Linked DNA regions of Nothobranchius furzeri. The protein of the gene in region 1 interacts with the protein of each later gene in a pairwise test. Links are inferred from orthologs where the notes say so. Each region holds a gene or a part of one and is shown on either strand. Other genes may lie near its edges.

The links.
Region 2: the proteins of zmym2 (region 1) and foxp1b come close enough for resonance energy transfer, tested with the Homo sapiens proteins (2 studies listed by BioGRID). The link is inferred for Nothobranchius furzeri from reciprocal best matches to the Homo sapiens genes ZMYM2 and FOXP1.

The regions. Positions count from the first base shown.
Region 1 is NC_091754.1:33,051,261-33,056,919, reverse strand, and holds the start of zmym2 (zinc finger MYM-type protein 2), read right to left. Parts: upstream 3,157-5,659; 5' UTR 2,720-3,156; intron 2,392-2,719; exon of another isoform or gene 2,166-2,391; intron 2,156-2,165; exon of another isoform or gene 1,765-2,155; intron 1-1,764. UniProt on the Homo sapiens protein: Involved in the negative regulation of transcription.
Region 2 is NC_091743.1:44,403,949-44,408,823, forward strand, and holds part of foxp1b (forkhead box protein P1-B), read left to right. Parts: exon of another isoform or gene 1-215; coding exon of another isoform or gene 216-224; intron 225-3,052; coding exon 3,053-3,238; intron 3,239-3,404; coding exon 3,405-3,503; intron 3,504-4,875. UniProt on the Homo sapiens protein: Transcriptional repressor. Can act with CTBP1 to synergistically repress transcription but CTPBP1 is not essential. Plays an important role in the specification and differentiation of lung epithelium.

The DNA of each region.
Region 1 (5,659 bases):
GACCACCACTAACACAGGCAAGTTGGGTGGAGTGTCTTGCCCAAGGACACAACAGCAGGATACCCCTGGCGGGAGCTGGAATCGAACCCATGACCGATCATGAGGCAACCCGCTCTACCACCTGAGCTACTGCTGCCCCCTAATATCTGTATGTCCTTGGAATTAATCTTTCATTTCACAGTGTGTCCATGTTAGACAAATATTAGGAAAATCTTCACAAACACACAAATTGTTTTAACAAAAATAACCATAAATTAAGAAAAACTGTTATTTGGTATTCTGTAAATCCAGGGTAATTATAATTGCCACTGCTGCTTATGAGATAAATATGGCTGTGAGAGGGAATTGCTCATTCACAAAAGAAATAGAAAATGGGATGCAAAACTTTTTTGCCAGTTAGCAACAGATTGTTCAAAATATCTGAGATTCAGCTGGTTACTCTCTTTTTCATTAACATCTTGGTCACCAACCACTGCCAGCGTTGTCTCCCATTTCTCCCACTTTGACTCAAACTTACTGAATTTAAAAAGTGCAAGATGGGTCAAACATGACCTCCACAACATTAGGAAGAGCAAATCTGTCAAAACTGTTTTTTAAACATGTTTAAACCAGGAAACGACTTTGTATACTGCCATTAAAATCTAGAAATGAGAATGTATGCTCACATGTTCTGTGAGAAACCAATAAGTGGAACAAAGGGACAAAAGAATATAGAGTTTTAAGCCCACAGAAAAGATTGTGACTGTTCTTGATCAGAATCAGCTTTAAAAACACTGATGCTGAATGAAGACGACTCTGGTCATGTGACAGGAAGCAGCAGCAAAAACACTAAACCAGGACGTCGTTTCTGGGCTGGAAGTCCACCTCATTCTCCAATGACTGCAGTGTCAGACCACACCTGTGAAGGTGAAACACATCTGTGTGCAACTGCCATGGCAACTGGTGGTATAATACGGTCAGTTGCAACATTTGCTGCAAAAACATGATGCATCACAGCGTGCTGGCCTGCTTGCACATCAACAGAGGAGTAAAGCAGCGTGCTATGAGGGGAATAAACAGACTGCATTGCAGAGATGTGAGACAGCCTGCATTCGAGCAGATGAGAGGAAACGAGCATCCAGCAGTAATGAGCTCTGACATGCAACCTTGCCCCCAACGTCAACACCAGGTGGACGCAAAGGTAGGCTGGCGCTGTGGACGGAGGGACCGCCTCCCTGCATCAAACTCCTCATCAGCGCCTGCGCCACATCACCTCGGATGTAGGTGCTCCACCACCTTCCCACCACCACCAGGCTATACCTTCAGCTCAGCTGACGTTTCCTCCGGCAGGTCACATGGCGGAGGTCTGCAGCTGTAGCGTCGGTGGTGGAGATCAGACACCGAATTCAAATTAAAAGCGTGAGATTATTATATAAGTATTATGTCACTGAGAATATGGTGCGCAGCCACCAGAACATCCTCCCAAAACCCACTGATGGGCTGGAGGAAAACCTGCTCTGGTTACCTGGCAGCAGAATGGTAAAACTAAACCCTGCTCTGCTCAGTTGATGAGCTGTCCCCAAAAATCCTCCAAACCTCGAAGGCACCGTGATGCGTTCAGAGGACAGCCGGGCCGTGTCCTTGATTGCTACCACTGTTCAGATAGACCACAGAATCCGCTCCAGACACAAGAAATAATCTCTCCTCTCTCCCCCCTTAACACACCTTGAATCCAGAGATGAGCGCGAGCACAAAACTTTGACCAATGGCAAGAAAAACAACTACCTGAGCAGGGAAACTCTGCCATAAATAGCCCTGGGAGGAGGAAATGCTAGCTTCCAAGTTGGGGTCCAGGAGAAACGTGGTTCAGGGTGTTCCGCTCCCACCCCTGCTCTTCCTGGCGCAAACAGTCATTGGATTAGCGGCGGATCGAGGGGAGGAGAGCCGACACAGACTGCGCCATTGTTAAAACGCCTCCCAAAACGATCAGCACTTCTTCAAACCGATTATGTTAGAGGTAAATGCTACACATGACACAATGTGACTCTCAACTCAACTCCCTACCTATGGCTGCGTTTCAGACTCTACAGCCCATAACGTTTGCTCCTCCTGGGTCTAGTTGCAAACAAGCAAGCCCAATTAAAACAGACCCTGAATATGACCCAGTGCACCAGAATATTTGATACCTGTGAAGCTGGGGTTTTAATTGGAAAGTTACCCGGCACGTAGTCCACTCCTGGCGCAATCAGTGGCAAAAATACCCGACCACCGCTAGGGGCGCCCTTCCCTTACATGAAATGCCTTAATTTGTGCCCTGAGCTGGTAAACAGCGATAGCCCAATTAATCCCGGCGTCGTACCTGCCCCGGTGTTTGTGTCTGTCTCGGTAAACCAGGTGTACCTCATTAGTCAACGGGAGATAAAATCTGCCCCCTCCCTCCCACCCTCTCCACACACCTCCCACCTCCCCCAGCGGAAAACAGCACTGCCTGCCGTCCGCCATTAGGGAACCAACGGAACAATACTGGAGACTGGAGGCGGCAACGGCCACAGCGAGCGGAGCAGGAGACGAAAGCTGTTAAAATCAACTCTTTAATGATTCCTTAGTGTCGCTCCTCTGCCGGCTGTGGCTGCGGAGGGGCGGACCGGGAATCCGGGCCTGTGTCCCGCTCAAGTTTCCCAAACTTTGACCAATTAAGCGTGAACGTGGAGGATAAAAACCGACTGTGAAATTCGCTTACCGGAGTAGAGCTCGAAGCGTTGTAGCGCCACTTTTGTGCCTTGACATTAATCCCCTTGTGCGCATGCGCACACAACGCAACTCTCGGCTTGCCGTCCAAAGATCGTCTATAAAGTTGAGCACTGACGCTTCACCGTTTCAGATATCTAAATGTGAACTATCCTCTTTGGTTTGTCCTTTAAAGGGGACATATTATGACTTAAAATTTAAAATAGTTATATTTCCAATACCCAACATGTTTATGAATTTATTTAGACAAAATGCCTCTCGCATTTCATCAGTTTTATTCTTGACAGTTTCAGTAGCCTCCAGAATGAGCCATCTGTCTTTGACAGATGACATATCAGGTGCTGTTGCATGATGGGATAGCTAAGTAGATAAACAACAGAAGCGTTGGTTGCTTTATGTGTTGCGAGCTTATAAACCTGCAGAAAATGGTACACTTGTGTGAAGGGCTGCCACGCCAGGTCACACAATTACAAGAAACGACACAAGACTCTTTTGCTTTCCTGCTTGGAAAAGAGGTTCTGGACACAAAATAGGAGAATAACAAAGAGACGCCTGAATTCCAGCTCTTGGATGGAAGGACATAACTTTCGAAACCGCATCTCCTCTCATGCGTGTTTGCTTGCAGCATTTTCATAAAGGCAAGTAAAACAGTTGTGTAAGTGACCCTACAGAATGTTCGTTTATGGGCTATATGAAGTTGCCATCTCCCAAACATGGAGGGCAGTTGAATGCAGAGGTGGGTAGTAATTTACTTAGAAAAGCTGTTCTTTTGCTTAAAATGTATTATTTTATGTTATTTATTTGTATAATTTCAGTTTTTTCGGTCTTGCAAATAGCATAATTTGTCCACGGCTTTATATGTTTTGTCTGAAAGATGATATAATGTTGTGTAAGTGGTTACTTTTAAAAAAATTGTCAATATTCAATCAAATGTAACATTCAATAAAAATGTGGATTATCAATATTATTGAGCCATTAATATTCAATTGATGATGAAATTAGGTAATTTAGCTAAGCCAGGGAAACAACACTTTATAATAATTTGACTCAGAGGTGAAAATATAGTTTATAAAAATGTATTTAATATTGTACTTCTACTACTTCATGAGTTGAGGTGATATCAACTGAGACACAGAATGACCAATGATGAAATATGAGTTTAGATGGTGTGTTAAAAAAAACAATTAAGTGTCTTAGAAAACTGTGATGCCTGGGTTGTAAAATAAGTCTGAACGAATGTTTAATGAAGTTTAACAAGTTGTCAAATTAATAATAAAAAATACATCCTACTGCCAGGTGTGAGACAACGATTTCCCTTGTAATGGAAATTCTCGTTAGGTCCAGCTGGCAAGGAAGTCGAGTCGGGCCAAGTGCCAAGATGAGTTGACTTCTGGAATCTCAAAGGTCATAGCTTCCTTTGAATTTGCACGACTGGCCAGTGAGATGCATCCCAGGTCTGCTGGCGAGATGTTTCACATCTGATGAGTTGTCTCTCTGCTGGAGAAAAGGATGGTTCCTTATGCTACTGACCCAGTTGGCTTAACCAGCCCGTGGGCTAGAACTAAAGCATTGAGGAAGTGATGCCTTTTTTTATAAAATTGGTTGTTTACCAATTTAGACAAACCAGAATCTAGAACGTGTAATAGTGGGCGTTATCAGAATCTCTCAGACACCTCTCCTTCCTCAAACACTTAGAAGATGCTCATTCCACCTAAAGTGATGTAACTCTGTTAAACATTCATTTATCAATATAGAGTAATATTAATATGTGAATACTGATAATAAGTCGTTATTAAATTCAACAAATAAGACTCATTGGGTGTATTTAGTATCTGAAATAAAGCATTATTTCCAGAATAAACAATTATGTTGAGTCAGTCATCACTGTAAACCAGTCAGGCATTATTAAAACACTTTAGATGAACAGAATATTTTTGTAAATAACTTGTAAAGTTGGGAAAGCGTTTTATGAAACAAAATAAGAAAAGTTTTATTAAAAGAGTAAAGTCTCATCACCTGCAGGACCTTGGAAGTTGCAGCCCCGATAAGTCAGGACATTTTTCATTATCGCTTTCTCCTAGTCATGGGTGTCATCACACCACCGCTGTCATGGGTGGCACACTGATGAGGCAAGCCTTGTCTACGTTTTTTTTCCCCCGTGTCCTTTCTGGCTGTCAAGCAAACAGAATTTATGTCTGAATGCTGGTGACAAGCCTTATGGATTTACTCTCAGGTGGAGCATCAAAGTGTCTGCTTTAATGTCATGCCTGATACTTAAAACTTTATTGTTGTTGTTTTTGAATGCTTTTTAATTCCGACCAGACACGGAGACAGAGGTGAAAGAGAAAGGAAGAGACAAAGGTAAGTAAGTAAGTAAGTAAAAGTTTATTTATATAGCGCCTTTCACAGATATAAATCACAAAGCGCTGTACAACATGATAAAGATCAGGGCAAATACCTCTAACCAATAAAAACATCTGAAAAACAATAGCAGTGATAAAATAGGAGGGGGAGGTTCCACAAAAATAAACAATCAATGATGAACAAGAGTCTGCTTCTAGACCTGCAGAAAGAGAACAACAACACACAACAATACAACAGGAGCAAGCTATCACTGCGTCAACCTGATGATGAAATATAAAATCAACATTGTTTAACTGAACACTCACACCATAATAAATCACAGTGCATTTAGTGCCAACCACAGCCTTAAGACATGTGTTGAAAATACCCAAGTCCATACTTATGAGAGCACCATGTGAGCACCTGTGTGTGTACATGCTCTTATTTATGTAAGGTTTCTCTATAGGAGCGTCCAATAGAGAGTGTGAGGGGCCACAGATCTGCCCTCGAAAGATGTGTAGGAGATGGAGGGAGCTCCAAGCTCCAGAAATCCAGGAGCTGCCCCAGAGCGCAGAGACCCCAGGGAGAC
Region 2 (4,875 bases), on another chromosome or scaffold:
ATTTGATAATTCCCTTTATTCTTTTTTCCTCCGTCAGCCCTGCTGCATCTCTCCAGCCTGTGAAGGGGTGAGATTCACCTCCCCGTGTCTTCCTCCTAACCGTCCAGCTGCGAGCACCGCGACTCGTCGTCACTCGCTTTGCACCAGGATTCTGACTTGTGATGGTCTAGAGTCGTCTTCGTTAACACTGAATCAAAGACTCCTGGCATGTTCAGATGGAAAAAGTGTGTTTTCTTAATCCCGCTGTAATATTTAGCGTTTTTTCTTTGGGTCAAGTAGAAGCTGCAGGTGTGTAAATGATAAGTGCGCATCCGGAGCCGGTGTAGAAAACAGAAGGATTTAATCTGGGATTATTGTTGTTTTAAGTAGAAATAATTAAAAAAAGTTTTAAATTTATTTAATAATCCGAGTATAAAATGATTTAGCTCCATGTCTGCAGCACGGTACGGGCTGTGACTTCTGACATGCTACAGTTTAGTGTGTGTGTGTGTGTGTGTGTGTGTGTGTGTGTGTGTGTGTGTGTGTGTGTGTGTGTGTGTGTGTGTTCGGCCAGCAGGCCTGTGCTGGTACAGGATTTTGCCTGCAGTCACGCTGCAGCTGTGTGAGAACGTTCCAGGTTTGGATGTTTATGTACGCGAAGGCACCTGGAGAGCACCACACCTTCATGAAATTCATAAACGTCAGCTATTTCTGGCATCCTCACAATGTCCTCTTTTTCACACCCTCACATCAGGAGAGCAAATTAGAGCTGAGCTTAGTGGATCCCTCCAGTTATTAGCCCGCTCCGAGTCCCGTTTCAGACTATTTTTAGATGGTGATGTATTCCTGTGGATCGTCTGGAGTCAGGATGTTATCCAGGAGATACGGCGGGGCATCATACGGGAGTGCTCTAAATGGCGACAGGCGGTCCTGTGTTAGCGTTAAATTAGTGCGATACGGCGGCCGAGTAATATTTTTCAGTTACGGTGCTCCTCCCGCCCCTCCACTCAACAGGAGCCTGTTTTAGTCAGATTTTCACTCCTCCTGCCCAGGATTAAATGTAGTAGTTACACTGATCAATAGGTGAAGAAGCACACAATCCCTCTTGCAGCTAATGACCTCAGTAGTAATGGGTAATAAAAGGAGGGTCTGTAATAGGCTCTTGCTGTAGTTACAGAGCGCCAGATGCTCCTGACTGGACACCGTGTAAAACCCTGATGGGATGCATCGTCTAGTGAAAAAGTCTAACCTATTGATCCTCTGTTAGGATCTAAACCAGCGTGTTAAATAAAAGTTTGCTCTCCTGCGCTGTGTGGTAAAAACAGAGATCGTAAGCTGCAAAGTGAGACGAATGCAGAGCATTTACAGGGCAGCAGAAAATAGACGCCGTGGATTCAAACGTGCACTAAAGGACTCCCACAGGTATTATTTATCTTCTCTGTGCACGGTATGTTTAGATGTGGACTATATGCGCCAGCACAAGGACGACCTTCAGAATAGTTCATCAAAATTAGTGATTCCTGTCAAATAAAATCATTTTTAAGAGCCTTTAGAGATGGGGACGGGAGGCCGGGGCTTTGCAAACGACAGGACGCGTCAGTGCAAAAGCAAAGATGAGCCGCGTATTAACACAAGAGGTAATTAGTATTGCGTTCTGCTCCCCGCGCCCCTTCCCCTTGGTGCTGGAAATGAGAAACGTGGAGCCGGTCCTGAGTCCTGAGCCTCCTTCGTTCTCCTGTGGTTGAAAGTGAAGTTAAAGGAGAGCATCAAAGCTGCTCCGTCCTGCTCGGTAGTCCTGCCCGTTCACTACGAGCTGCTCGTTACAGCCGAGCTTTGATTTTGTTTAATGCTGCAGCGGAAAAATGACTAAGGTTATGTGCATGAAGGGTGTGTGTGTGTGTGTGTGTGTGTGTGTGTGTGTGTGTGTGTGTGTGTGTGTGTGTGTGTGTGTGTGCGGGTGTGTGTCTGTGTGTGTGTGTGTGTGTGGGGGGGGGTGTCTTAAACCGCTAAATTACATTCAGAAATGCATGAAAAACTCAAATGCTGTCATTAGCTCTGAAATGGTCGTATAGTTGTTGAAGATGAGCTGTCACGTTATGTCTCCTCTATCAGCGTGTGACAGCCCACACACACACACACTTTATACTCATTTATGTCCTCTCTGATGTGTGTTTTTGTTACTGCACAGATTCATTGACACAACAAGTAACCAGCAGCGTCTAAAAGTTGCAGTTTGTCACACAAACGCCGAGGAAAGCAGCTTTTAGTGGCAGCATCCAGACGCAGCGACTCCCGCGCGTCGCCGGAGCAATTAAAGCACACTGACAACTACGGGCCCCTCTCAGTGTCACCACAAATCAGTCGTTCGGAGGAGCCGTGCACTCACACCTTTCTGCGAGAGTTAGTTAGAGGCCTGTGTGTTCTTCAGCCTGACTCCTCCTCCTCGGGCTCTCTCTAGATCCTCACAACAGCAGATCGCTGCTGACAGCATCTCTAATGAGATGTTCTTACAGGACCTACGTGTAGCCATGTCCTCAGGTTTGACACGTTCCATACCAACAACAGGATGGGAGGGACGTTAGCAGCGAGTCTGGAGGTTTAGGTGTTTCCGGTTCATCCACTGGTCTGGGTCTCGTAGAGGGGATCCAGTCGCCTCAGCCGGAGTCTCACTGGGAGACTCTCAAGAGCGTTTCCAAAATGTTTAGCAGGAGTTTTCCTCTCCTCGCGTCTGTGCGAGCGGTCGTTGCAGGCGTCTGGTTCCTGATGCGTCGGATCATTCTGAGAGACTAAATAGTGAGAAGAACAATTTCACAACATTCATGTAAAATCTGCTCTAATGGCGGAAATTGTTTCTAGTTCAGTCTGATTTGCATATTTTCTCTCAGTTCTGTGTCTCTCTGTGTGTTTACTGTTTAGTTAATAGAATTAGAGATTATATTGTTTACTCCTGATGAATTTAATTTACTAAACTTATTTTTTACAACGTTTAAGCTTTCAGAAAACTAAAGTTTTGTTTCTGTTAATAAATCTTGACGGTGTCTGCCTAACGCTGCGAAACCTGTGTTTGGACCAGGTTCCAGTGTCAGTGGCTATGATGACACCGCAGGTGATAACTCCACAGCAAATGCAGCAGATCCTCCAGCAGCAGGTCCTGAGCCCTCAGCAGCTCCAGGTTCTCCTCCAGCAGCAGCAGGCCCTCATGTTACAGCAGGTAACGTGCAGCAGTCGCGCCGTCAGCGCGCTTACGCTTTTTCCAGAGGTGAATATCACGTTTCAAACGCTCTGCAAATCCTCCGGGATGAAAGTACTTTGAACTGCCGTTCTGAGGTTTCTAAGCCTCGGAGAAGTTCCCACACACATGGCTGCCGAGGATCTGCCACTGTCAAACTCCCAACTCATTTGTCACCTTCTTGTCTCTTCTGCAGCAGCAACTTCAAGAGTTCTACAAGAAGCAGCAGGAAACGCTCCACCTCCAGCTCCTCCAGCAGCAGCAGCAGCATGCAGGCAGCAAGCAGAGTAAAGAGGTAGGCTGACATCACTCCCACCGCCAACGTCGGCCAGACTCGGCGCGCTCCCTCCCTCAGCTCCATCTGCTTTCAGGCTGTGGTTAAAGCACGGGCTGGGGTGGGGTGGGATGGTGAGGGGGTGATCAAGTGCACTCGTGTTTCTGATTAGCATGTCAGACCTGCTGGCTAAATGTTAGCTACTGACTGATACCACTCTATAAAGAAGACCGTAATGTTTCTGCCATGTTTACCGCGTGATGTGTTTTTGGTAATGAAGAGCAGAACGTCGGAGAGGAGGCGGCAAAGACACCGGCGCACGAGTCTGAGAGGCTTTTCTTGGTGATTAACATGGAAGTAGCAGAGGAAACCGAGGCGTGTAATTGTGAGATATCAGCGCAGAGAGCACTCCCAGCTTTGTTGCCCGCCTCTCTTTCCGTCTTGATTTTTCCTGCTCGGCTCCCCGCAGCACAGCGGGGCTCGCTCATAGGCGGCGGCTTAATGCGTGTTAATGACGGGCGGATACAGGCGTCGCTGCGGACAAAGCAAATCGCTACTGCACGGCCAGGACAAGTTCAAAGACTCGCTGTGGATTTTTTTTTGCTCCCGTCCCCGTTGAGTTCCATGTTTGGAGAGTAAAGAAGGGCACGGGGAAATTAAGCTGAACGTTAAAAGCAGGCGCACGCGCCCCTCCGCTCACGCACACGGTCCAAACGCACAACTTCAAAGTTAGAGCTCCCTAATTAATGAAGCGCGGGCTTCAGCTTGGACAAGTTGTGGCGTGATGCTCCCATAAATCAACGTGACAGCAGAGCTCCTCTGCCTCAGATAGGGCCTGTCACCGAGTCGCATCTGATGCAGACGGGGTGGGGGCGGGGGGGCATTGATCAGTTGCATGAGAATAAAAGAGGCAGAAAAGGTACTTTTTAAGCACATTATGTATGATCACAGGAAGTAGATGCAGCCTCAAGAGGCTCTCCCCTTCTGCTGCAGTTCTCTCTCTCTCTCTCTCTCCCCGTCGCGCGCTCTCCTTTTCACTTTCCAGCAGCCATCAAAAGACAGAATAAGAATGATGCAGCGACTCCCCTGTGGCTGCCAGACAATAACCCCCTGTTGTTGCTTTGTGCCTCTTTTATTTTAAAGACATCAAAATTTAGTTTTTCAAAGATCTTTAACTTTATATGTGAAGCTCGACAATAAAGGCCTGCCACTGCCACTCTCATCATCTGTCAGGAGCTGTATTTTTCTCTCCCTTGTGCCACTTCTTGTTAACCTCTTATTTGGTCTATTGGGTCTGGGGGGGGGGGGGTTAATGCGTGTGCATGCTGGGAGCGCACAGGAGCCGCTGTCAGCTGACGGAACGACGAGGGGGAAAGCCGCGAAGGGGAGAGGG